Drosophila melanogaster: one gene and its partners. The protein of the gene in region 1 interacts with the protein of each later gene in a pairwise test. Each region holds a gene or a part of one and is shown on either strand. Other genes may lie near its edges. The genes, in order: CG11672, mRNA-cap, Spn77Ba and Bem46.

Region 1 (5,097 bases):
TGCAAGTGGTCAGATTCTGGGCCGTTTCCAACATTTGGGGTATGCTGTTGACGAACACCACTCCACACTCCGCAGAGTGGATGGCCTCCTCCGGCAACTGGTTGTTGATTTTGCCGTAGACATCGATTCCGACAGCGATGATGTCGTGTAGCCGGCGGATCGCACTGAGAGCGTTTACTGTACCCGACAGGATTTTGCCAACGGTGGTCTGCTTGGCGGCAATCTTCTTGCAAATCTTCACAAGACTACTGACATTGCGTTTAACCTCCTTCACAGCGGCCACTGTTTCATTCTGAATGCGCATTACCAAGGCCATGGTGCGGGAGTAGCAATCAACGCCATCGTTAATGGCCTGCAGACCTATCTGGAACTCTGGGACCAGCGAGTAACTGCAATAGGCGGCCTGACTTCCGCGGCCCCAGTAGTTCCACATGTATCCCAATCCGGCAATGGCTGCGGTCACGATCTTTGGTTTGTTCAGCTTCAGCAGATTCGTCTCCAGTTGGATGGCCCTCTCCACCAAGTCGTCAATGCCGAACTGTGCCTCGTCAATAACATCCTGAATAATCTCCCTGAGATCCTCGAATTCCGCCCTCTGATTTGGTGTGAAGTCGGGACTGGGCTTTCCCATGATCTCGTCGACAGTGGGCAATTTTGTGTCATACACCACTCGAGGTTTCTCATCCAAGTAAATGGAGAACTTTTCGCGAAAGTCTTCAAATGCCCGTAGGTAGTTGCTATCCAGTTCAGGCTCCTCCGCGGGATTCTGATCACTCCCATCGCCGCTCTGGAGCCTCAGGCTGTACAGATAGTTGTACTGCGCCTGAAACTCTAGGTACAGTGGACGCAAAGCAGCCACTTCCTCGCCAGACAACTGCAAGTCCACCTGTTGCTTCTGCAGCAGAGTCTCCAGTTCCTGGTTGGCTTCACCAAAAGCGAAGAGCAGCACACAGCCCAGCAGAAGCAATGCTTTTCCAATCATTTTGCCCGGGCAACTGTTTCAGTACAACTGAGGGAGGGATTTTGACCAGCTTCATTATCGGAAGAAGTATGGCTCGTAAAACACTATCGAAGATACCACACTTGGTTTTTCTTAAGTGGCGCAGGTTGATTAGGCTTATCCGGCTTATCGCCAATATTACGCTATATATAAACCACCACGGGGCAATGTTTTTCGAGAGAAAATTTAAATTTCTATTTGGCTTTTTATGAATGGTCGAACTGATAACGATTAAAGATAACTATGCTCATAAATATTAGGTAAAAGTTGATGTAAGTAATTAATATTTTCAAGTCGACACCAGACCACAGTTAATAGTGCATTTGACTTTATTACATTCTTTCTAGTTTATCGCACACGACTCAATCTGCGTAAAGAGGTCATCGAAATCCATCTTCAGATGATGGTAGAAGAGGCAACTTGGTGTGTCCAGGTCTTCCAAGGACATCTCCAGCACAATTGCATCGCACAGCTCCAGACTGCTGATCATCCGCTGATTGATCCTCCCGATTCCAGCGACAGTGCATAATAAAACTCCGGCGTGATTGAAACCAGACTGCTTAAGCTGCCAGATTCTGCAGGTGTTTGACAACTCACTGATCTCCCGCGAAGCCTTACTCAGAAAATTAGCCTCCAGCACGATTTCCTCCTGAAAATGATCCATGATGTGGTCCAGAGAATTCCTGCAGATACTGTACTTGTCCACCAGCTCTCGATTGAAGTGTGCCACCTGGAGTTCGTACTTCTTTGAGCATGCCCGCCACTCATCGCTGTACTGGCTTCCAAAAAACATCTCCAAGCGTCCACTAACCACTTGCTGATGGTCATCCAGTGTGTCCTTGGCTTCTTGAAGATACTCCAACTTCTGATCGAGGGCCTGTTGGGTGACGTTCCAGATCCTGGCTGCACTGGAGCTTTGGCTGGCTATAAGCTGCTTTGTGGACTCATAGAGTGGTCCATTTTGTCCCCAAATTCTTTGAAAGTGGCCATGCACCTGTAAGATCTTTTCTTTAATATTATACTTTACACAAATAATGCTATTTCATACACAAAGAAGCGACTGAAGTAAAAGCAGTGACACCCGTACTGTTGTCATCTTGAAACTAAATCGAATTGATTCCCGAAAAATTGAAGATACCATACCTTTTATTTATAGATCGCCAAAGGTTGCCTTAATTAACTAAGACTAAGAATTAAATTCTTTTTTGGGAAAGAGTTTTAACGCTTTAACAAAAATTGTTATTGTTTATAAAGAAAATATTGGGATACCGAAAAATTTAACAGCGTAAGTTGCTAAAAATACCCATGTCATATGTGATCAATATGAAACTTTAGGGTATTTAAGTTCCGAACAAAACTTAAATTAAGTTCTGAATTAGACAAATGGCTCATTTGTGTCTTATAATGTTTATAAGAAAGATTCTTATCGCATGATGACTGTGTAACGACTATATGCTTCAAGTTAGTCATCAACCTCAGCTTTCTTTAGCAAACTTGAACTGTAAATATCTCCCCTTTTACAAATAAAAGTATAATTGATCCCTCCATTATTCAACGAAGGTGAGAAATTTACAAAAAGAAATTACGAAAATTTACGAAAAATACGATGACCAAATAGAATACTTTGAATAGTATACCAAGTTCATGTACTAAAACATCATCTCAGTTCATCAAGTTAATGCTCAAATTGTGTTTCGTAGTGATTGCTATGAGACACACTCTTATCGTGACACTGGATCTCTTGACATATATAAGAAGTCAAGTGTAGGGCCAGTCGCACTAGGAAATATAACAGAAAGATGATGAGTCAAACTCTGGGAGTACTTGCTCTGCTTTTGCTGACTTTGGCAGTGAGTTAATAGTAACTTTCCATTTATAGTACTTTTCAAATTCATATGCTCCTTTATTTCAGGACTGCCAAGAAGTCGGCTATGAAACAAAGATGGAGACAGAGACTACAAACTATGGACCTGTTACCATGGTTGTGGACAATCTGGCAGAGATTGCCGTAAGTGTCAGCGACGACACCTCCATTCAGTTGGAGGAGAAAATAAATCGCACTCGGCAAAATATTGCCGGTAACATTGAGGTCCTGACCGCCAATGCTATGGCCGAACTAAGTGATGTGATCTATGAGACAAACCAGTTAGTGGTGTCCAATCCCGATTGCAACCCAGCCTGGAGCCTGGATGAGCTCAATGAAAATGTGACCCATCAGCTGGGTGGGTGTACGGAAGACTTGGGAAGCCTTTTGGAAGACTTCCGTCTGGAGAGTCAACTGGCTTTGGCCAGAGTACAGGAATTCGTACAGCAGATTGCCCACTTGCCGGCCAAGTGCCAATTGCTGGGGGCTTCCCCGCTTAATCCTCTAGCTTCAGCTGGCGGAAGTGTCTGTTTCATTAACGCGATGGCGGAAATCAATCTGGGGATGGCCCAATCCATGCACAATGCATCCCTAATCCTGGTGCAGACCCACCAGACCGCCGAGGATCAAGTGGTGCAGGCTCAGCTGTGCAGTGCCATGGTGGTGCAGCACATCGGCGACTATCTGCGCGAGGAGCAGGATCAGTGCCGGCAATCATAGTGGACCGACCCTTCCCGTAAGCAATAGTCCTAAGAGAGAACCCAGGCAAAAACAGCCAATGGCAAATTTATGCACCCGCAAGATGACAGGGGCCGAGGACTCGCCACATCCTGTTCACTTATTGCTTATGCATGACATTTATTTGACAAGTTTTTGATTGATTTTACAGCTGCTGCAGTCGATCTGGTACAGCTATCAGCATATTTGCAGGCACAGTGAAGCCTTTTTAAAGTCTGGCTTGGAATTGAAATAAAATCAATTTCAAATCACTATGTTCTTATAAAACGCTAAGAGGCGTGTGTTAAACCAAGGAATTTACACATTTTAAAATGATCAATAAATAGTGAAGTAAATTACTACTTAGTATCAAGATCTCATTTCAGTTTGATTCGACTTAGAGAGGTTGCTCTGTAATTGCATATATATACATATGTACATATGTATATTGGGCAACTTTGTGGCTAATCGCAAGTTCACTTTTCAAAGTCGCATGCATACTAATTGGCCATTGTTCGGCTAAACTGACCAATTGCCCAATGGACTTGCCCACGACACGTGGCAGCCACACGATATAAGATATAGTAGCATACGGATCCGATCCAAATGGGCGACAGCTGGCCCTAGAAAGAGATAGAGACGGAGATCGAGATCGAGATCAGCCAGTTTTTTTCCTCTTCCTCTCGCTTCCGCAGTAAGCAAAATTATTTTGACCTGCCTACCGCACACTGAGCGAATATCCGAAGCGAGTATCTGTGCATCCGTGAGATACACCAAAGCATCGCATCACACATCTCTCTCGTCGTTCACAGTGCAGCAACGAAATTTCTACGACTCTTTATTTCGGCTCTTGCCGCAATTTCACTAAGAGTCTCTGAATTTTATCTTATTTTTACTGCTTGTAACAGTTGTTGCCCTGCTGATGATCGCCTTGGTAGTGTAGCTGCACAAATTCCGCCTACTCCAACATCTGTTCAGCTCCTCCAGACATCTGACGGATTTTGATGACGTAGATCGCGCGACTCTTGTCTATTGAAAGCCGAGCTCTGAGCAAAACAATCTTTTTACATCTGGCACATCGAAAAGGCTAGTCACTGACTATTAAATTATAAGCTGAAATGGTTTTTACTATAGATTTTAAAATAAAATCATTCAGTGCGCCAACAATTTATTTATGTTGCAGGCAAAATTCTGTGTTATAGCATTAATCATCGAGAAATATAGTTTAAAAAATATTTCTATTAATGCCTAATCAACGATGGTCATTCCCATACGATCAGTGATATAGGACTTGACTGCTTCGAGTGCAACCTCTTGCACATGCCGGTTATTTAGTATTAGTCTTGCGACATCTCGAACGCGTACATTTCTAACTTCGGATATGGCCCTGATCACGTGCTGCTCCAGTTCTCGACGCTGACTCTCCGTCAAATCGTTCAAAATGACCTCACTTAGAGATTTGAAATTTCCTGGAATTAAAAGACTGATAAGAATGATAGTCACCATGTAACGCTAG
Region 2 (6,311 bases), on another chromosome or scaffold:
TTTAGTTTAGTTTTTAGTTTTGTTTACCAGTTAAGAATTCGAAAATGATTTTAATAATGGTTTTCTCAAAAATCTAAAAGATCTTTTCATGTAAGCATTATTAAAGAGATACTTATGAATTTATACCTATGTATGTGAATATTTTTCACTTGGCTGGTTTGTGTTAGGCAGGCCTGACTGTAGTATTACAAAAATCCCAAAAACTTACCCAGAAAACAGACGATCACAGCCACCAGACGTCCATTGGCTTTTCGCTCCTCCTGCAAAAGGACAACATGGATATATGGGAATATGAGAAACGGGGTCACCAATTCCAATCAATTTGCAAAGTTGCAAAATTGGATTGAGAATTTTTCAGGGCTTTTCAGGGTTGGCTCTCTTTTTGTTTTTGTGAGTGATGCCATAAAAACAATTGTTTACAATTTTCACGTTCCGTGCATATAGAGGCTTATACACGGCAAAAAAAAGTGCAAATAGGTAAAAGCAAAGAAATCTACGTGCATTTCTATGCTGGACAAAAAGAAAAAAGTGATAGTTTCTTGCAAATAACAAAAAGTTAAGTGCCTTGGATTTTGAAAATAAGATTTCAAAAATGCTTAAATCAACTTGGATGCCAATTAATTTGTTTTTAATTGCACAAAAGTTTCCGAAAGGGAAACTCAATACCGATTTGATTATCTTACACTTCATAAAATGGCGTGATTTACACAAAAACGCTTGGGCATTTTTTTTTTTTTTGTGTATATCTGGGACTTTTGTTGATTTCGCTTCGTTATTTGTTGATCGCAAAATGCGTGCCTGATTTTATACAATTTGTATTAAATAGGTTTGGAAATTTTCAAAAAATAATGCGTATGCATGTCAAACTCAAATCAATTAATTTGGAAACACGCTTCTTCCAGTGTCATTTTCTGCACTTGCTGTACATTTTCCAGTTAACTATTAAATGGCAAATGCATTCTTAACATCCACTGTATGTGCAAAAAGATCTAAGGCGAAAACTAAACGAACATTTCGGATTTTATGATCGGACACACATTCTATTCCAGTGATTCCCATCGATAATGATGGCGCCACAAACGATGGCGTCGTACAAACTTTGAGAGACGTCTGCAAATCTCGGAAAAGCTGAGGAAAATCTGAAAGTCACAGTGATCCATTCGTAAATGACGTGCACGTAAATCAAGGTGTTTCCAATGAATCACAACACGGTGAAAAAAAAAAAAAAAAACGAGAGCACTCATGGAATGTCCATATGGTTATTGTTCAAGTTTTGTTTAGTTTTAAGCGATTCAGTAATATATGTAGATGAATGAAAAAGATCACAGTCATTCGATTTTTAATTGAGTACTGAAAAGTTAATTATTAAGTTCAGGTTTCTAAACTTGCGAATTTGGCATATTTAAGATATTGTATCTTCATTTCGCTTCTTAAGATACTTTTCAAAAGCACCGCCTCAAATTCAAACTTACGCGCGACTTGAGGTCGAGGATCTCGTTGAGATTCTCCTGAATGATCTCCTCCTCCGACATGGACGTAATGCTCTTCCGGGCCACCAGGGAGGTGAGGGCATCCGGCGACTTGGGCACCGCCGGATTGGAGCACACTGTGCCCGTTCCACGCGGCATGGCGGCCGGAAATTTTGGCACCGGCTGGCGATTTGAGGCGGTCGCGGACATGGGCGTGGCTCTGCGACGGAATAAGTGGCTTACGTACTAGTTCGGTTTGAACGGACCGCAAAAAAACAATCGAGTTTCGGAACGGAGTGTATTCAAATTTTCGCAAAAATTTCACAATTTGTATGAAGTGAAGATCGCGTCCGGGCGGCGATCAAAAATCGAGTGAGAGGCGAAATTGTGTGGTTACGAGCCCAAACCTCCTCGTTCCTCTTTTTTTTCGCGACTTCGTTCGATTTCTGCGGGCGATTTGTTGTTATTTGTTGTTTATTTACATTGCAGTAAATAATTGTACGGCTGGCTGTGTGTGCCCCAAGTTCATATCGAAACTGATGCGTATATATATATATATAGGTATGTGCGTATGTGTGTATGCACACATCGACCGAAATATGCAGCAATTAAATTGTTTATTTTTATGCAAAAGATTCGCAGCTATTTTGAAAAACGATTATCGATACAAATGAGCGGCAGAAGGTAGGGGAAAAACATGTTTTTTTAATTCTGTTCTGTATATTTAAAAAAATTTTAATTTTTTTATTTAATTAATTTTAATTACACTAAAATTTATTATATATATTATTAAATACTTTTGTAAATACTTTCTCGTAATTTCCCCGTGAGAACAACTTTTTGACGAATTCCCCCAACAATATTTTCAAACAATCGATGCTATCGATGTAACGGACGCATCGATAATTTGGCTGGACAGTTCGATGATATATCATTTTTAATAAAATCATTAAAATGATAAAAGATATAAAGATTTAACTAGATTTGCTACAAACATTGCAGGTCGCGCTGTTGTCGATTATTCCAGAATAATAACTTCTGGCTGTGCTCATTTTATTTCCGTTTTATTATTAACGTCTTTCTTATTTGAATTCACTTGCATATTAGTGTGACCAATAAGAAATATGAAAAATATATTTAGCAAAAAACGCGATATCTTATATATATATATATCATTTATTTTTATAAAAAGGGAAACAAATAAGATATCGATATTTTTACATATATATTCCACATCTCTAGACAAATCCTACACAGAATTCCCAGGCCCGCGAGTTCTCGCTGCATCTGCATCCACCACAATCTGCACCAGCAATAAACCACCTAACACAAACGCAACGGCGTCGTCCCATCGCTGCGCCCGCCGTTTCCATCGTCGTCAGCAGTAGCAGCAGCAGCAGCAGCAGCAGCAGCAGGAGGAGGAGGAGGAGCAGGAGAGGCGGAGCCACTGTGGCACTATGGCCCTAACTAATCGGGATCGGGAACGGGGCTCTGGTCCATTGCCCAATCGCTGGCTATACTGTCCGCGCAAGAGCGATACCATCATTGCGGAACGCTTCCTGGCCTTTAAGACCCCGCTGAGCAATAACTTTCACGACAAGATGCCCATCGAGTGCACCTTTCAACCCGAGATGCTCTTCGAATACTGCAAAACGCTAAAGGTGAATGCAAACGCAACATCCCCCAATTTCCAACTCACTTATCCAATCCATCTTATGGTTTCAGGTGAAACTGGGCCTCTGGGTTGACCTGACCAATACGAAACGATTCTACGATCGATCCGCAGTGGAGGAGCTCGGCGCGAAATATATTAAGCTGCAGTGCCGTGGACATGGCGAGACGCCATCGCCGGAGCAGACGCACAGTTTCATCGAGATCGTGGACAACTTTATTAACGAACGTCCATTTGACGTTATAGCCGTGCACTGCACGCACGGTTTCAATCGCACTGGCTTCCTGATTGTCTGCTATTTGGTCGAGCGACTCGATTGCTCCGTTTCGGCAGCGCTCGCTATCTTTGCCAGCGCCCGGCCGCCGGGCATCTACAAGCAGGATTACATCAACGAGCTGTACAAACGCTACGAGGACACGAATGCCGCTCCAGCGGCACCAGAACAGCCCAATTGGTGCCTGGACTATGATGATGGCAACGGCGATGGTTTTGTGCAGGACAACTCCTCATCCACGTCACAGCAGGCCGGCGAGCAGGATGACGACGCCGAGGAGGTGGAGGGAGAGGATGCGGGCGGCGACTGTGACGCCTCCACGTCGGACGGTCAGCCGCGTAAGAAGCGACGGCGCGAAATGATCATCAAGAATGCCACCTTTATGGCGGGAGTGCCGGGCGTGCGACAGGTGAGCGATCAGCCGCGACTGGGCGATCTGCAGCGTAAGGTGCAGGACTGGTGCGACTGGAAGAAGAACGGCTTCCCTGGCGCACAGCCCGTCTCCATGGACAGGGAGAACATAAAGCGGCTAAGCGAGATACCGTATCGTGTGTCGTGGAAGGCGGACGGTACACGTTATATGATGCTCATCGATGGAAGGGACGAGGTATATTTCTTCGATCGCAATCACTCCTGTTTCCAGGTGGAGAATGTGACATTTGTGGAGAGCAGGAACCTAAACGAGCATCTCGACGGCACTCTCGTCGACGGGGTATGTGATTCTAGCTGGCACTCCTGATTGCAACTAAATTATCGTTCTATTTGTCCGTTTAGGAGATGGTGCTGGACAAGATCGGCGAGACCGTAACGCCGCGCTACCTCATCTACGACATTGTGCGATTATCGAATCGCGATGTGCGGGACGAGCCATTCTATCCAAATCGACTGGACTACATTAAGACGGAAGTTATAGGTGAGTAATTATTCGATGTTCGTTTATGAAGGACACATCCATATATCGCTGCAGGTCCCCGAATCCTGGGCATGAAGCATGGCATCATCAATCAGCGGCTGCAGGCGTTCAGTGTGCGCGGCAAGGACTTCTGGGACATTTGGATGTCTGCCCGGCTGCTGGGTGAGAAATTCTCGCGGACACTGGCACACGAACCGGATGGCCTCATCTTCCAGCCATCAAAGCAGCCCTACACGGCTGGCACATGCTCCGATGTCTTCAAATGGAAGCCACATGAGCTCAACTCGGTGGACTTTCGGCTGAAGATCATAACAGAGCGCGGCGAGGGGTGAGTTGTAGTGATCTATCCGTTCAACGGGCTCAATTCATACCATGCCATTCTCCGCCTCTGGCAGCTTGCTGACGAAAAAGGTGGGCTTCCTCTATGTCGGCGGACACGATGCACCCTATGGACGGATGCAAAGGTTAACGAAGGAGACCAGAGAATTGGACAACAGAATCGTTGAGTGCACCATGAATCAGTTTGGCAACTGGGACTTTATGCGCGAGCGAACGGACAAAAAGAATCCCAACAGTTATAATACAGCCCGCTGTGAGTAGTAATCTTCACCAGCAGTAGGAGGATCCCTATACTCATTCTCAACTCATCTTAATTTCAGCCGTTGTGGACAGCATAAAGCATCCAGTCACCAAGGAGTACCTACTAAACTTTATCGCAAGCTCTGGCTATCGGAATGATCATGTCATGATGCCGCCGCCGATCAATTCCCATAACCAAAACCACAACCATAACCACTTTTATCCCCATGGTCATGGCCAACACCAGCGTCGTCCCTGCGTGAACCCGACATTAGGAAATTAATCAGAGCGTAATAAAAAAAGAAAGAATAAAATTAATCGTGAGTTATGTACCGAAAAACTGTGTGAACTTGGGTTTTCTTGGATTAGCTGAACTACGAATTACTTAGTACTAGGAGCACTCCAACCAGCTGTACTCCTTATAAACTTAAAACAGCTCATATAATTTATTTATCTAAATACATACATATATTTAAAGCACTGCACACTTGCAGTTTTGTTTATTCAGATGCAAACTTTGTTAACCCAATGGAGGTAGTCCAGATACTGCTCCCAGCACCTAAGGCAGTTGCAACAGCCATTGCAATAATCAAAAAAAAAAAAAACAACTAAATAATGGTGTCCAAAACATAGCCAAAATGGATGACATTTACATAAAACAGGAGGAACTTTGCTGCTCAGTTGAGCAGGCTGCCATTGTCGCGCAGAACCTCCGCCTCCAGCTGGCCAAGATGGAGCAGGGCCACCAGAGCGGCGCCCTGCTCTGCCTGCTTCTTGTTCTTCTCCCAGAAGGAGCTACTAAAGCGCTGGCCATCGTACGTGCAGATGGAGCGAAACAATTTGTCACACTGCTGCGTTTCGTACGCTGGCGGGGATTTGCCAGTTTTGACAGCATGCACATATAGTTGCGTTTTCGGCAGATGATTATCTGTGGCATGAAAAATACCGAATGGGGATGATGGCTATCATGGCAAGAGATTGATCGAAACACTTACCACTGGGATAGGTGGAGCGCAGGAATGGCATGTGTCGGCAAATGATGCCGTCGTACTCGTCCGTTATGGCAATGGCCGCATCCTCCAGCTTCTGTCGCTTGGCCAGCGCCTCCGGTGGCTCCACCTCCGCCCGTCCCGAGTTGCCCATCGTCTTTAGCTCCCGCTGCTTGCGGCGGCAATAGTCGCCCAGCTCCCAGATCTCGCAGATCTGCTGCAGCGTCTGGCACTGAAGGAAACGCTTGCCACGCGGCGTCTCCTGCAGCTCCCTGAGTATGCTCTGCACACAGTACTTGGCGTTATGCGGCGCATTGTCGTAGTCGACGCACAGGCGCAGATACTTCTCGATTAGCTCGTCCATGGGCAGCAGGCCCTCCGGCCTGAAGATGCTAACATTGATCTGTGCCGCACG
Region 3 (6,797 bases), on another chromosome or scaffold:
GCCGTCAACTGCCTGATGAAGTCCATCGACATCTACACGGATATGGGCCGCTTTACGATGGCTGCCAAACATCACCAAAGCATCGCCGAGATGTACGAAAGTGATCCCAATAATCTGGTGGGTTCCCGTGTGCGCCTCCATGCTAATTACATATTAATGGACCATTTCCCTTTCAGGCCAAGTCTATTCAGCACTATGAGCAGGCGGCTGATTACTTCAAGGGTGAAGAGTCGGTCAGTTCGGCCAACAAGTGCATGTTGAAGGTGGCCCAGTACGCCGCCCAACTGGAGGATTACGAGAAAGCAATATCCATATACGAGCAGGTGGCCGCCTCCTCGCTGGAGAGCTCTCTGCTCAAGTACAGTGCCAAGGAGTACTTCTTCAGGGCCGCTCTATGCCATCTCAGCGTGGACCTCCTGAACGCCCAGCATGCCATCGAAAAGTATGCGCAGCAGTACCCAGCATTCCAGGACTCCAGGGAGTTCAAGCTCATCAAGGTGGGTATCAGTTTGCTTAAGTTTTATCTTTGGTGTGTGTGTGTCGTCTTTGGTTTTCGCAGATATTTACTTTAAGACGCTTTTCGAATTACAGGTGTTGTGCGAGAATCTAGAGGAACAGAACATCGAGGGATTCACAGAGGCCGTCAAGGACTACGACAGCATCTCCCGGTTGGATCAGTGGTACACCACCATCTTGCTGCGGATCAAGAAGGCTGCGGACGAGGATCCCGATCTGCGATAAACGAAATCAATTAAATTTTCGGATAAAATCGCGTACACATTTATTAAATGCTTTATTCGGTTCGGATATTAATCTACCTATACATATATAACTAAAAGAAAATTATTAAACGTGTTGCATTGCTTAACCTGAAAGCACCCAAACGACGGCCAGCTTGTACGCGTGAATTAAACCTATGGAATAGTCTATATTCCCGTATTCTAGAGTTTAATTTAACGTTTATGCAACGAATGAAGAAGGCAGCAGATGCCGAGGCTCAAATTGCGCTACCACGTGCTATTCAAAAGAAAAACTTTATTATTTCCAATGTGGAGTGATTAGAGGTGTTACTTATGTTTGTCTGTTTTTGCGTTACTCTTGTTATTTGTGTAAGTAGCCAATCAATCAGTGGGTTAGCTGATGTTCCATTTGGATGCGTAAAGTACCCTATAGAAATCTGTATCCACTACTATAATAAATTGAGAACTTCATTCTATGTGTGTAATGTGTTAGATAATTTTGAGATTAACTAAAGAGTCCCTGGTAGCGAAAATGAATTTCAAACCAATTATAATTCCATTTAGTGCACTGAAATAAAATTAAACCTAAAGTTTAGATTGTACGCATATACACAACCTACAAATAAAATATATGTCCACATAAACATTACCGATTACCCCGATAAATATCCAAAAAGTACACGGAATTCTAATAAATACTTGAGGGTCACATTTATAGAAAATTCCATCTCGCAAAATTTTAACGATGTTTAGTAGATCAACATGTACGAGCGAATTATAATCCAATAAATAATATTACGACGGAGCGACGAAGATTACGCGGTCGTCGAGGCCGAAGCAAGAATAAATAAATCAATTATTGAATTTATTGAATGAAGATCTCCAGGAAACACACAACACCACTGAAACCTGACCCAACACATTTAATTATTAATACTGCAAAGATCCTGGTAATGCCTCTATGCAAGCGTTACCACGGATATTTCCAATTCAAATACTTTAATAAAGTTAACGCTTGGATTAATCCTGTCATCCTCTCTTCGTATCCATCGATGTTTCCTAAAATGGTGCCTAGCATATATTCCAGTCCATCCATAAGCATTGTCTTTCTAGTATATCATTAGTTTGCACCTGTCACTTGGGAAAAAAAAATGTTTTTTACCTTGAAGTTTGTTGTTTATTGCACTTGTAAACTTACTGGTATTGAAAACATTCATTTGTATGATTATAAAACACAGTTGAGAGCTACCTGCATATGTCTTCTACAGCTCATATTTGATGTCATCTTAACCATCCATCCACGAGCTTACAATATTGCATATACATTTGAATACATGTAGTTACCTTTTAAAATATCTTGGATTCAGGCACAGTTGATGTAGATGTGATCTAAAGGTGAGTTACTGGAGTTAACCCGGCATTTCAACCAGTTTCACCATCGGATTAGCTGCAACTCATAGTAGTGATTCCACCTGATTTCCATTTCGCGAATGAGGCTTCATTGTCAAGAGCGGCAGACAAAGGTCTGCCAATATCAATACCGCGTTCTCTCGCTGCGGCTCTCGCATCTGAATCCGAGTCTGAACTGATTTGGACCCGGCTGTGGGACGATGGCGGTGGCGGTGGGATGGGATGACCATATCAGTACGGTGCTGAATGGTCGATGGAGCAGTCTCTCAGTCACTCAGTCACTCAGCTGATGCTCGTGCGTTAGGTTGACATTGTTTGTGGGGAGTTGTGTGGACGTGGGTTCGATCTGGCATCAAAATCTTGGCAAAACCGAAAACCACCAGTAGCTGGGTTCACAAATTGAAATAAATATATAGAATTATATAAGCGGCAACCGCATACGCGAACACCCCACCCACCTGTACGTATGGTCTCCTTGCGAGCGTGTATTTGTATACATAATATATGTGGAATTCCCCTCAGTGCATTCCGGTTTTCGAATAACACCGACCGACAACAGTGTATAGAGACATATAGATGAACGTCGCTTTGTCAACATCGAAAAACCCCAAAATACATCAATAAAAGGTTTAAAAGCCTCTCAATAATTGATGCACACCCACATGGTTAAGCAAAAGTGTGATTCATTTGTGTGCGCAATTATTATAAAAATTTTAAAAGCCCTGCCTGAAGGCCCAATTATAAATAATATTAAAAGCCCGGCCTGAAGGCCTGATAAGCGAGGCTTGAGCCAATTCTTGATCGCAGCCACAAAAAATGGGTAAAATCGCAGGTAAGCTTCGTGGTCAATTAATTATGGAATATTTCCCAGAGGCGGGGATGTTGTTTTAGAGGCAATCAATAAAGAGATTTAAAATTTACAAGTACTCGTGTGTGCACAGCAAACACATATTATGTACATACATATATACATTTTGTATTACGTACAAACACATGAGGTCGTCAATGGATCATCGCTATCAATTGGAAAATGCTTATTTTTACGCATCTGGGAATACTATATGTACATAGTACTCACGCGAGTGCCTTTGAATTTCATTCGATTTGATTAGACCGGAAATAGCTATGCCGGATTTTCAGGCAGTTTTTCAAAATCGAGTTGTTGGTTTAACTCATACGGAGTTCAAGGACAATTGGCTAACTGCATATGTATATGGTTTAAACTTACATTCTGAAATGAATAATAAAATTATATTCCGATGGAAAACAGTTACCGTAAAATGATTATTTAACTCGAAATTTATAAAATTATCCATCTTTAACGCATTTTAAAATGATGTTGGTGTAAAATAATACAATAATTTTAGTGCGGCTTTTAACATCATGATCCTTAATGAAATGACGTTCTAATGCACATCTTAATCCAGATTGCCTGATGCTATGGATTCCACTACTCCTGGGAGCCATCTTCCTGTGCTCGGCGGATCCTCAGAACAACCAAGCGCCCCTCCAGCTTTCAGTGGGCAATCCCCTTACCGCATTCACAGCTCCCACGGCTTTCCAAAGTGGCGTCAGCCATATCCAGTCCATGAGAAGCAACTTCGACACGGATGTCCTGGTCAGCATTTCGCAGGGGGTCCAGGACTTCGCCCTCGATCTCCTGCAGCGCATATCCGTTGAAGTGGAGAAGGCCAACAAGGATTTCATGATATCGCCCTTTTCCGTCTGGTCACTCCTGGTGCTTCTCTACGAGGGATCCGAGGGAGAGACCCGCAACCAGTTGAAAAAAAGCCTGCGGATCAATGTCGAGGACGAAAAGCTTCGGGGCGCCTACAAGGTTTGGAGCTCATTTCTGAAGTGAGTTTATAGGATTGCATATTTATGGATCGCGGTGACCCCCTTCCCTCTTCTAAGCATCACCACTTCCACCATCGAAGTAGCCACCCTGCAGGCCATATACACCGGCAAGGGGTATCCCATCAAGAACAACTACCGCGATGCTATTCAAAACTACAATGTCCAGCCGATGGAAGTGGACTTCTATAGCCCGGATTCGGTGATCCAGATCAACGAGGACACAAATCGCACGACCCGCGGTCTGATTCCTTATACCATTCTGCCACAGGATGTATATGGAGCGAAGATGTTTCTGCTCTCGTCTCTGTACTTCAAGGGCCAATGGAAGGTGGGAAGTGAACTTGTCCACTTGCAAATCCTTCGATATATCGTTTTCGCTTGCAGTTTCCCTTCAACAAAACGCTGACAAGAGAGGAACCCTTTTTCAGCGAGAGCGGCGAAGTCATTGGAAAGATTCCCATGATGGTGCAGGAAGCGAACTTCGCCTACGTCTCAAACGTAGAGGGTTTGGATGGCTATGTGCTGGAGCTGCCCTACGGCACCCAGGATCGTCTGGCGATGATCGTGGTGCTGCCCAAGCGCGGATTCAAGCTAAACGACGTAGCCAATAATCTGAAGGCCTTGGGATTGAGGCCCATCCTCCAGCGACTGGCGGCATTCAGGAACAGGGCCTCCGAGGACAACGAAGTGGAGGTCATGATGCCCAAGTTTGTGACTGCCACAGATTTCACTCTTAAGGGAGTCCTCATCCAGGTGACAGAACTTCTAAATCCAATCTGGAAATACATTTGTAAATAACTTCTAATTCTAGATGGGCATTCGCGATCTGTTCGACGAGAATACAGCCAACCTGGACCGAATGTCTTCCGGCTTGTTTGCCAAGCTGGTCGTCCACTCAACCAAGATCATTGTGGACGAACAGGGAACCACGGCGGGAGCCGTCACGGAGGCAGCGCTGGCCAACAAGGCCACACCGCCCAAGTTCCTGCTCAACCGGCCCTTCCAGTACATGATCGTAGAGAAGGCAACCGGACTTCTCCTCTTCGCCGGACAAGTGCGGAATCCCAAGGCGGCCTAAAAGTCCACCGACTCACACTTTACTCACATACCACAATAAATACGTTACGTTAAGACAAAAGGGGGAATTTTATTACGGATCCTTGCAACTCCCTCATGTACCACTTCTGTACTACTGTGGCAGCCCAAAAGATTCCTCTAACGTCACGGCCAGGAACTAAAATCTGTCAGGATACGTCAAGTAAGCAGCACAATGGGGAAGTCTCACTGTACCGCTATATTTTCGTCACATGTAAAAGTTGTTAACGTATTCTTATTAAAGAATATAAATAATATTAATTTACGCGACGATCTTGGTATTACTGATGCCAAGCTTTCTACATCAGCGCCCTCTTGCGGCTTTGAAAATCTTTGAAAATATCGAATAAAACGCGTAGTACAGCTGAAAAACTGCTGTAATGAACACTGTAAAATTAGCAGCTGCAAATTAGTTGAATGGTCTGAACAACTTCGGGCACTTTTGGTGTTCCTTCGCCATGTCACTGGATATTATGGATAAGGAAACTAAAAAAATCCAAAAAAATCGTTCTCTTTCAGAAATTTTGCCAGATTTGACCGACTTGTGGTCGATAGAGTGGGAGAAGAGTAGAGCTGGAGTCCGTATTCCCAAAATTAAAATATCTGTTTGATTCAATTCCTTGTCGATTAGCAATGTCTTTTATTTCGAGCTAAAACGTTAATAGCGTGACCTGGCCACTACTATTCTCCAGATCGCAAAATACGGAAGGTATACGAAGGAGTAAAGCAATACGAAGATAAGGAAACATAAGCTGCAGCTATTAAACGTGCTTGTGCCGCCAGAAGGACCGTTTTTTGGAAGTTTTTACTAACAAAACTCTTTACTGAAACATTTTTTTACTTTACTTTTTTTACTTTATTTTACATACTCATGACAAAATCTACGAGTAACTGATATAAAAAATGCAAGGCACGTGCAAAAAAACGGGAACATAAAAATAAAGTATACATGGCTTGGAATATTGAACTCCACAAATTAACGAAAGTAAATCATATAAATATAGTTTTTTGTAAATAAAAAAACAGTTTTGAGTAGTCTTCGGGTGCACAAAGAGGTAAGAAAAGTAAATGATATTTTTGCTTCAGCTGAAATATTTCTTATCGGTCTAGCCAAGTAAATTTTGTTGACAATATGAAGCTCGGATTTCTGGGGCTTTTTGGCATGGTGCTCATGATCATGTTCTACGAGGGAGCAGAAGGGTATACCGTCAATGAGCTGCGCGATGTCCTGGGGATCTATGTCGATTATCCAACACTGCGCAGGTGGTACGAGGATGTCCGAGCTTATCACTAGTAAGTACCACATTACTCAGAAACTACATCTATTAGAATTTTCAATGTCTTTTTCTTTAAATTCTAGTTTAAATTCGGAAAACACAAAACTGTTTTCGCTGCGTTACGCTTACTACGACGACGTAGGAGATTTAGAACTCGTGAAAGGGTACAACAGTGTAGTCCTAGAAGGAGTAGGAGAAGGAAATGTGGTTCTTCGAGAGGGTCGGCCAAGGGGTGTGGACTTCGACCAGGGGGCGAGTATAATAATCAACGACGATATCGACAAAGCCTCTCATGCGAAAATCTTCAGTTCTTATAGCCGTCGTTCGTTCAATAGTACAGTAACTGTGCTGGGGATTACTGTTAGCTACTTTAAGGCCAAATGGAAGGTAAGACCCAGAGCCAGATTCATCCTCGCTT
Region 4 (5,733 bases), on another chromosome or scaffold:
TGTGGATGTACGACCAGCCCTTCCACTTGATCAGGAACTGTGCCTCGGTCTCCGCGTCTGGAGTTTGCTTTTCATCAAATCCAGCATGTGGATCAAAGCCGTTTTCCTCTATTGCATAGATCGTTGTCTGATTGCCCGTGCATCCCCTCTTCCCAGCACGCTGCGCCAGGATACGCTCTATGGTTTCGCACTTTTCCTCCTCCTCAGCCGTAGCGGCAGTGGTGGCTGCCTGGCTTTCATCGTACTCAAACTCCAGCAGATCCTCGGAGTCGGTGGCTTCGTCCTCCGAAGCCTCCTTGTAGCTAACGGCAGCACCCTTGCGACGAGTAGCGCAGCTTTATAAAAAAGATGGACATGGGTCAGGGAAAGGCAAAAAGCAAAGGGCTGGGGTCATTACCGTTTGCTAGCGTCGTCATCATCACTGTCCTCGGAACTAAAGGGTTTCACCCTGCGCCGCTGCTGTTGCTGTGCGAGTTTGCTGCGAGAGGTAGTTGCTGCCGGTTTGCGCTTTTGGGCGGTGGACACCTCGTCATCACTGTCCTCGCTTTCATCGCTTTCATCCGAGTCCCAGCTGGCAAATGAAACGAATGCTTTGTAGAAAATAATTTGGAAAGGGGATGCTGGAAATCTCACGTTTTCTTCTTGTTCTTGGGTGCTGGAGCTTTTTTCGACTTCTCAGCAGCAGTCGGTGGTTTGCGCGCCTGGCGCGTCCGCTTGGGTCTATAGTCCTCCTCTTCCTCCTCCTGCGTGGAGAATGGTTAGGAACTTTTTAAGATGAAACCGCCGGTCCAAACTTACACTGCTGCTGCTGGAGGATGTGGGTGACACATTGGCAGAACTATCACTTGATTCATCGGCAGAGGCATCGCTGGCTGGCTGCTGCTGACCAGCCTCAGTCTCATTGTCCTCCTCCTCATTCTGCTCCGGCTTAGGCAAACTGCTGCTTGTGTTGGCATTGTTGATGCTCTGGTTCCTTTGATCCGATGGGCCCTCGGCGTCTGAATCGGAATCACTGCCACTAGACCCGTCACTGGAGCTGTCCTCCTGGTCATCCGTGAACCCGTTCGTCTTACTGTCCGCCTGGGCAGCAGCGGCTGTCGGTGGAAACCCTGCCACCGATAACGATTTGTCCTCGGGTTCTGGGGAGCTCCGTCCATCGCTAGAGTTGCCCGAGGAGCTGTCTGAATCTGAGTCTGAGCCGGAGGAGCCACTACCGCTGCCACTGCCACTATGGTCGGTGCCATTGGCCTCTTCCCGAGTGTCATCTTGTTCGTCTGAGCCAATACTATTCGCCGATTCATTGAGTGCCTGGTCAGATGAAAAGTAATTTCAAAATCAATCTAGGTTGAAGATCAATCAATCTTAGTTAAAGATAAACCGTCGGATACGAAAAGGTTGAAGTAACACACCGGCTCTGGGCCAGCCAATCCTGGCCAGAAATTGTGAGTACAGAGTGCATCGAAATTGGCATAACATGTTTAATATTCCCCTTATTCAGCTCCTTAGAAGTAAGGAATGGGTTACACAATCACTGAACTATAGGCAACGACTTAAAGTGACATTTTAAAACAAGAAGATGGCTCAATCCTGTCCAGAGTGAGGTCGCACTTTAGATTCCACAAAAGCCTGGTAAAACCACGGAAAACTTCGAAAACTTGGCTCTTGGGCCGTGCTGAACAGATTATAAAACAAAACGGCGTGAAGAAACTTTCATAAAACGCACTCTCATGGCTTACACAGGACTAATCCTCTCCAGAAATTTGTTTATGGCAGTTTTTGGCCAAAAAGGGTAAAACAAAATGTATTGCGTTTTGTAGTTCCAGGAAGCACACGACAGAAGCACATGACTACTTTGAAGAGAACGCGGTAATCACACGACACTTCTTCCTGGTGATTAGAAACCCGGATATCCTTAGAAACAAGCGGGAAATCGATGTTCTGGGCGGGATCTTTCCCTGAAAAAGGCACAAAACTGTGGAAATAGGAATGGCAAAGCGGAAAAAATTATTTTTAATCATTGTATCTGTCGAAAAGAGGAGGAATTTAAGGAAAATTATTGCTGGTAGCCTTTTGGCGGGCTCGAAAATCCCTGGAATTTGGTCAGAAGTACAAGAGAGGAAACTTTGCACCTAGCCATTTCTGATTACGTAATCGGTGAAAATTTTCCATTTTATCGAAAAAGGAAGGAAATCCATGGAAATTACAGGATTTTAACAGCCGCTATTGATAAAAACAAACAGAAATTCTTGAATTTGAGTAGAATTTGCGAAAATGGGTACCCAATGGATTTCCACAAAATCCACCTTGGCTGCCACGTTGAAGCCTTGGGAACTGTCAGGCACTGTCGGAAGGATGAAACACTCTCGGAATAGTGGAGAAATAAATCCTTTTATCCAAATGCTCCGCCAGCAGCCGCACGGCCAGTCATCAAAGTGTAGGTGTCTCGCGACGAGGGGACTTCTACAGACTTCGTTGCTGAGCAGCCACGCCCACAAAACTGAGCGATTGCCTTGTGTGTAGCATTTGATTTACGTTTTTACTCACACGACAGCCTGGATCAAACTGTTTTGACTTGTCTGGTTTCAAATGATATAAGAAATTCATAGTTTTTCCGATTTTTCCACACACACCGATGTTTGACAACCACAGCTTTTTCAAGGCCTACTCACCTGGCTCATTATATTGTCGTGGTAGCACACACAGTTGCCTTGTAGCGCTCATTAAATACAGGGGGCTCACTTGCATGCGGTCGCTGGCGAATGTTTATGTTTTTCCCGCTGCCCACTTGTTTTGAAATGCACTTTTTCGAAACAAAATGATCGTTTTTCACGTTTTACTCATGCGACGCAGCAGAAATCTTTCCACCATCTTGAATTAGTGGGACCGTGCGTGCTGCAGTAGAGATGGCACACCGCGCGACAGTGATGATGCGGGATATATCGCTTGCATAATAATATAAAACATGTACAACATTTATATAAATATAAAATAAAGTAAATAGAGTCATGAATTGAATTTATATTGATATTATATATTCCTTTTCATAGGCATAAAATTATTAAATGTAGCGTTTCAAGTTATCCAGAATATGTCAAAAAGAAATAAACTACTTAATTACTTGACTGATTTTATTTTATGAGTTGAATGTTGAGTTGAACGATATTTAATAATTTTAGTAGTAGTAGTTCATTATAGCCACATGATCACAACCTTATCGGGGTCGCTGATCGTCAGTAGTTACTGTACTGCGTTATCGATAACTTTTCGCACTGCACAGGTGTCTTGGAAATCAGCTGTGGGCGGTGTACAATTACAAATCGTTTGTGTTGCTGGCGCTGGAATTGATGCAATTTAATTAAATTAGAGCGTTGGACATGTAGCGCAGCTGGACCACAGGCGAACATGAAAGAAGTGGGCATCGCTCTGCCCAAGTCCCGCGGCGTGGGCGTGGGAGTACTCGCTGCCTTCCTGTTGTGCTTCATTTTCTACTATTTCTACGGCGGTTACATGACGTTGGCACTCTTCGCTGGGATCATCCTGCGTACGTATTCTGCTTCAGACCAGTCATTCGTCACTAAGTGCCTGCCCTTGCAGTGATATTCTACTATGCCCAGGACCTGCTTCTCTACCATCCGGACTTGCCAGCCAACTCCCGCATTTACATACCCATTCCGACAATGCACAACCTGCCGCACATTACGGTCAGCATCAAGACACCCGACGATGTCACTCTGCACGCCTTCTGGGTTACCCAACCGGAGGAGCGCTCCAAGTCGTCGCCCACGCTGCTCTACTTCCACGGCAACGCTGGCAACATGGGACACCGCATGCAAAACGTAAGGGGAGCGCCAATTCTGATAACGACATTACTTTACAATTCTCTGACACGCTTCTCAGGTGTGGGGCATCTACCACCATCTGCACTGCAATGTTCTGATGGTGGAATACCGCGGATATGGCCTATCCACCGGTGTACCCACCGAGCGGGGTCTGGTCACCGACGCCAGAGCGGCCATTGACTACCTGCACACCCGCCACGACCTGGACCACTCGCAACTGATACTTTTCGGACGCTCCCTGGGCGGAGCTGTGGTGGTCGACGTTGCAGCCGATACCGTATATGGACAGAAGCTAATGTGCGCTATTGTGGAGAACACTTTTAGCAGCATACCGGAAATGGCCGTGGAGCTGGTGCATCCCGCTGTGAAGTATATACCAAATCTATTATTTAAGAATAAGGTGGGTAGTCGTCGCCGGTTGAGCCCTCTGTTTACTTTATCTCATTACCACATTATTGTTTGTTGTTTCACATGCAGTATCACTCCATGAGCAAGATAGGCAAGTGTTCGGTTCCCTTTTTGTTTATTTCGGGCCTTGCGGACAACTTAGTGCCACCGCGCATGATGCGTGCCTTGTATACCAAATGCGGCAGCGAGATAAAGCGCCTGCTCGAATTCCCCGGCGGATCGCACAACGACACTTGGATAGTGGACGGGTATGGCCGGCAATTAATCTTCACTTTCCCATTTATCCATGGGTGTGCTTGCTTTTTAGGTACTATCAGGCCATCGGTGGGTTTTTGGCCGAGCTGCAGCAACAGCCGCTCCTCAAGGCGCCGGAGAAGAGCAACGTCTGGGTGGAGCTGGAGCATAAAATTATTGATGTATAGACCCGAATACATCAAGTGTTCAATTGACTGTGTTAACACTGCGAATGGTTTAATACTTATACATATACACACGCATAATATTAATCTGTATCTGACAGGGTTTTAATCCGGACGTTGCTATACGCCAAATTGCTTTTTATGTGCAGAGAATAACGTGCTAGCGGAGATGGCTGTTGATTTTAAGTAACCAACTTAAATAACTTTGCGCTTAAGCAAGTGAATACACACTAGAATCCGAATTTCGATGTTTGCTTGTATTTGTCCTAAGCTATGTTAACCTACTACTTTGCCCGATTGGCGGCCAGTTAAGAGTATAGAAATTGATCAGTATTTCACAAAAAAGTAAACTATTTTCTGGACTGACTCCTACATTGCCAGATTAGTTTATAGAAGCCTTCACCCCTAGCACGTTAACATTTTGTGCTGGTTCCATTTTTGAAATGTTAAATTAATAACTTGTTAGGATTGCAAAGGAAGCCAGAAAAAGTTATCTTAAGTTTAGACTTAAGTGCGAAGAAAAAGGAAATTCGAGAAACAATAAACTGCAAACAATTGCTAGAATCCACGGAAGTCCTCATCGGCACTGTCATCACTGGCGGGCGTGGATGATCGTTTGCGGCTTTCTGGTTTTTCCTCTGGCTGATCTGTTGCTTCCTCCTCAGCACTCGGCACAATTTCCTGAGCCTGCGATCGGTGGTGGAAGACAAAGGACACGCACTTGCAATCCATCCAGGCCTGGGCGAGAATATTGTCAGGCAGGCCTCTGTTGTTGGAGCAATGGTACCATTGTGACAAATGCGAGGTGCAGTCCGTGTCCTCGGGCGGTGGCTTCATTTGTATATTTTGAACGCAGCGCTTACACTTGAGCCTGAAAAGATATGTTACACGATCATGATCTAAAGGGTATCCAAAGCCAGTTCTTACTTGTCGTGTGTGTCGGACAGAATGTTCGCATCAAATGTAAACAAGTCCTTCAGATCGTCGCGGGTGAAATGCTTCTCGGCCGACTCGTTGTTGTCAATGATGGTGCTCGACAGGGATTTTTTGTGCGTCTGTCGCTGCAG

What was found.
Region 2: the proteins of CG11672 (region 1) and mRNA-cap interact in a two-hybrid assay, tested with the Drosophila melanogaster proteins (one large-scale study listed by BioGRID).
Region 3: the proteins of CG11672 (region 1) and Spn77Ba interact in a two-hybrid assay, tested with the Drosophila melanogaster proteins (one large-scale study listed by BioGRID).
Region 4: the proteins of CG11672 (region 1) and Bem46 interact in a two-hybrid assay, tested with the Drosophila melanogaster proteins (one large-scale study listed by BioGRID).

What each region holds. Positions count from the first base shown.
Region 1 is NT_033777.3:8,288,251-8,293,347, reverse strand, and holds CG11672 (uncharacterized protein), read left to right. Parts: upstream 1-2,769; 5' UTR 2,770-2,799; coding exon 2,800-2,850; intron 2,851-2,912; coding exon 2,913-3,584; 3' UTR 3,585-3,953; downstream 3,954-5,097. Other genes in the region: CG31463 (uncharacterized protein), read right to left, coding at 1-982; CG31464 (uncharacterized protein), read right to left, coding at 1,344-1,994, 2,049-2,096; nazo, read right to left, coding at 4,830-5,050.
Region 2 is NC_004354.4:14,239,197-14,245,507, reverse strand, and holds mRNA-cap (mRNA-capping-enzyme), read left to right. Parts: upstream 1-2,685; 5' UTR 2,686-2,926; coding exon 2,927-3,130; intron 3,131-3,194; coding exon 3,195-4,127; intron 4,128-4,189; coding exon 4,190-4,328; intron 4,329-4,382; coding exon 4,383-4,656; intron 4,657-4,723; coding exon 4,724-4,920; intron 4,921-4,987; coding exon 4,988-5,190; 3' UTR 5,191-5,242; downstream 5,243-6,311. Other genes in the region: CG32599 (uncharacterized protein), read right to left, coding at 209-260, 1,473-1,679; Dus2 (dihydrouridine synthase 2), read right to left, coding at 5,585-5,835, 5,903-6,311.
Region 3 is NT_037436.4:20,314,807-20,321,603, forward strand, and holds Spn77Ba (serpin 77Ba), read left to right. Parts: upstream 1-2,383; 5' UTR 2,384-2,966; coding exon 2,967-2,982; intron 2,983-3,577; coding exon 3,578-4,007; intron 4,008-4,064; coding exon 4,065-4,335; intron 4,336-4,391; coding exon 4,392-4,760; intron 4,761-4,818; coding exon 4,819-5,085; 3' UTR 5,086-5,310; downstream 5,311-6,797. Other genes in the region: alphaSnap (alpha soluble NSF attachment protein), read left to right, coding at 1-117, 177-497, 592-741; Spn77Bb (serpin 77Bb), read left to right, coding at 6,235-6,395, 6,463-6,766.
Region 4 is NT_033779.5:2,984,843-2,990,575, forward strand, and holds Bem46 (Bem46), read left to right. Parts: upstream 1-3,273; 5' UTR 3,274-3,402; coding exon 3,403-3,541; intron 3,542-3,594; coding exon 3,595-3,836; intron 3,837-3,897; coding exon 3,898-4,239; intron 4,240-4,316; coding exon 4,317-4,495; intron 4,496-4,554; coding exon 4,555-4,669; 3' UTR 4,670-5,224; downstream 5,225-5,733. Other genes in the region: Chd1 (Chromodomain-helicase-DNA-binding protein 1), read right to left, coding at 1-335, 398-571, 634-743, 799-1,308, 2,545-2,604; okr (okra), read right to left, coding at 5,225-5,537, 5,594-5,733.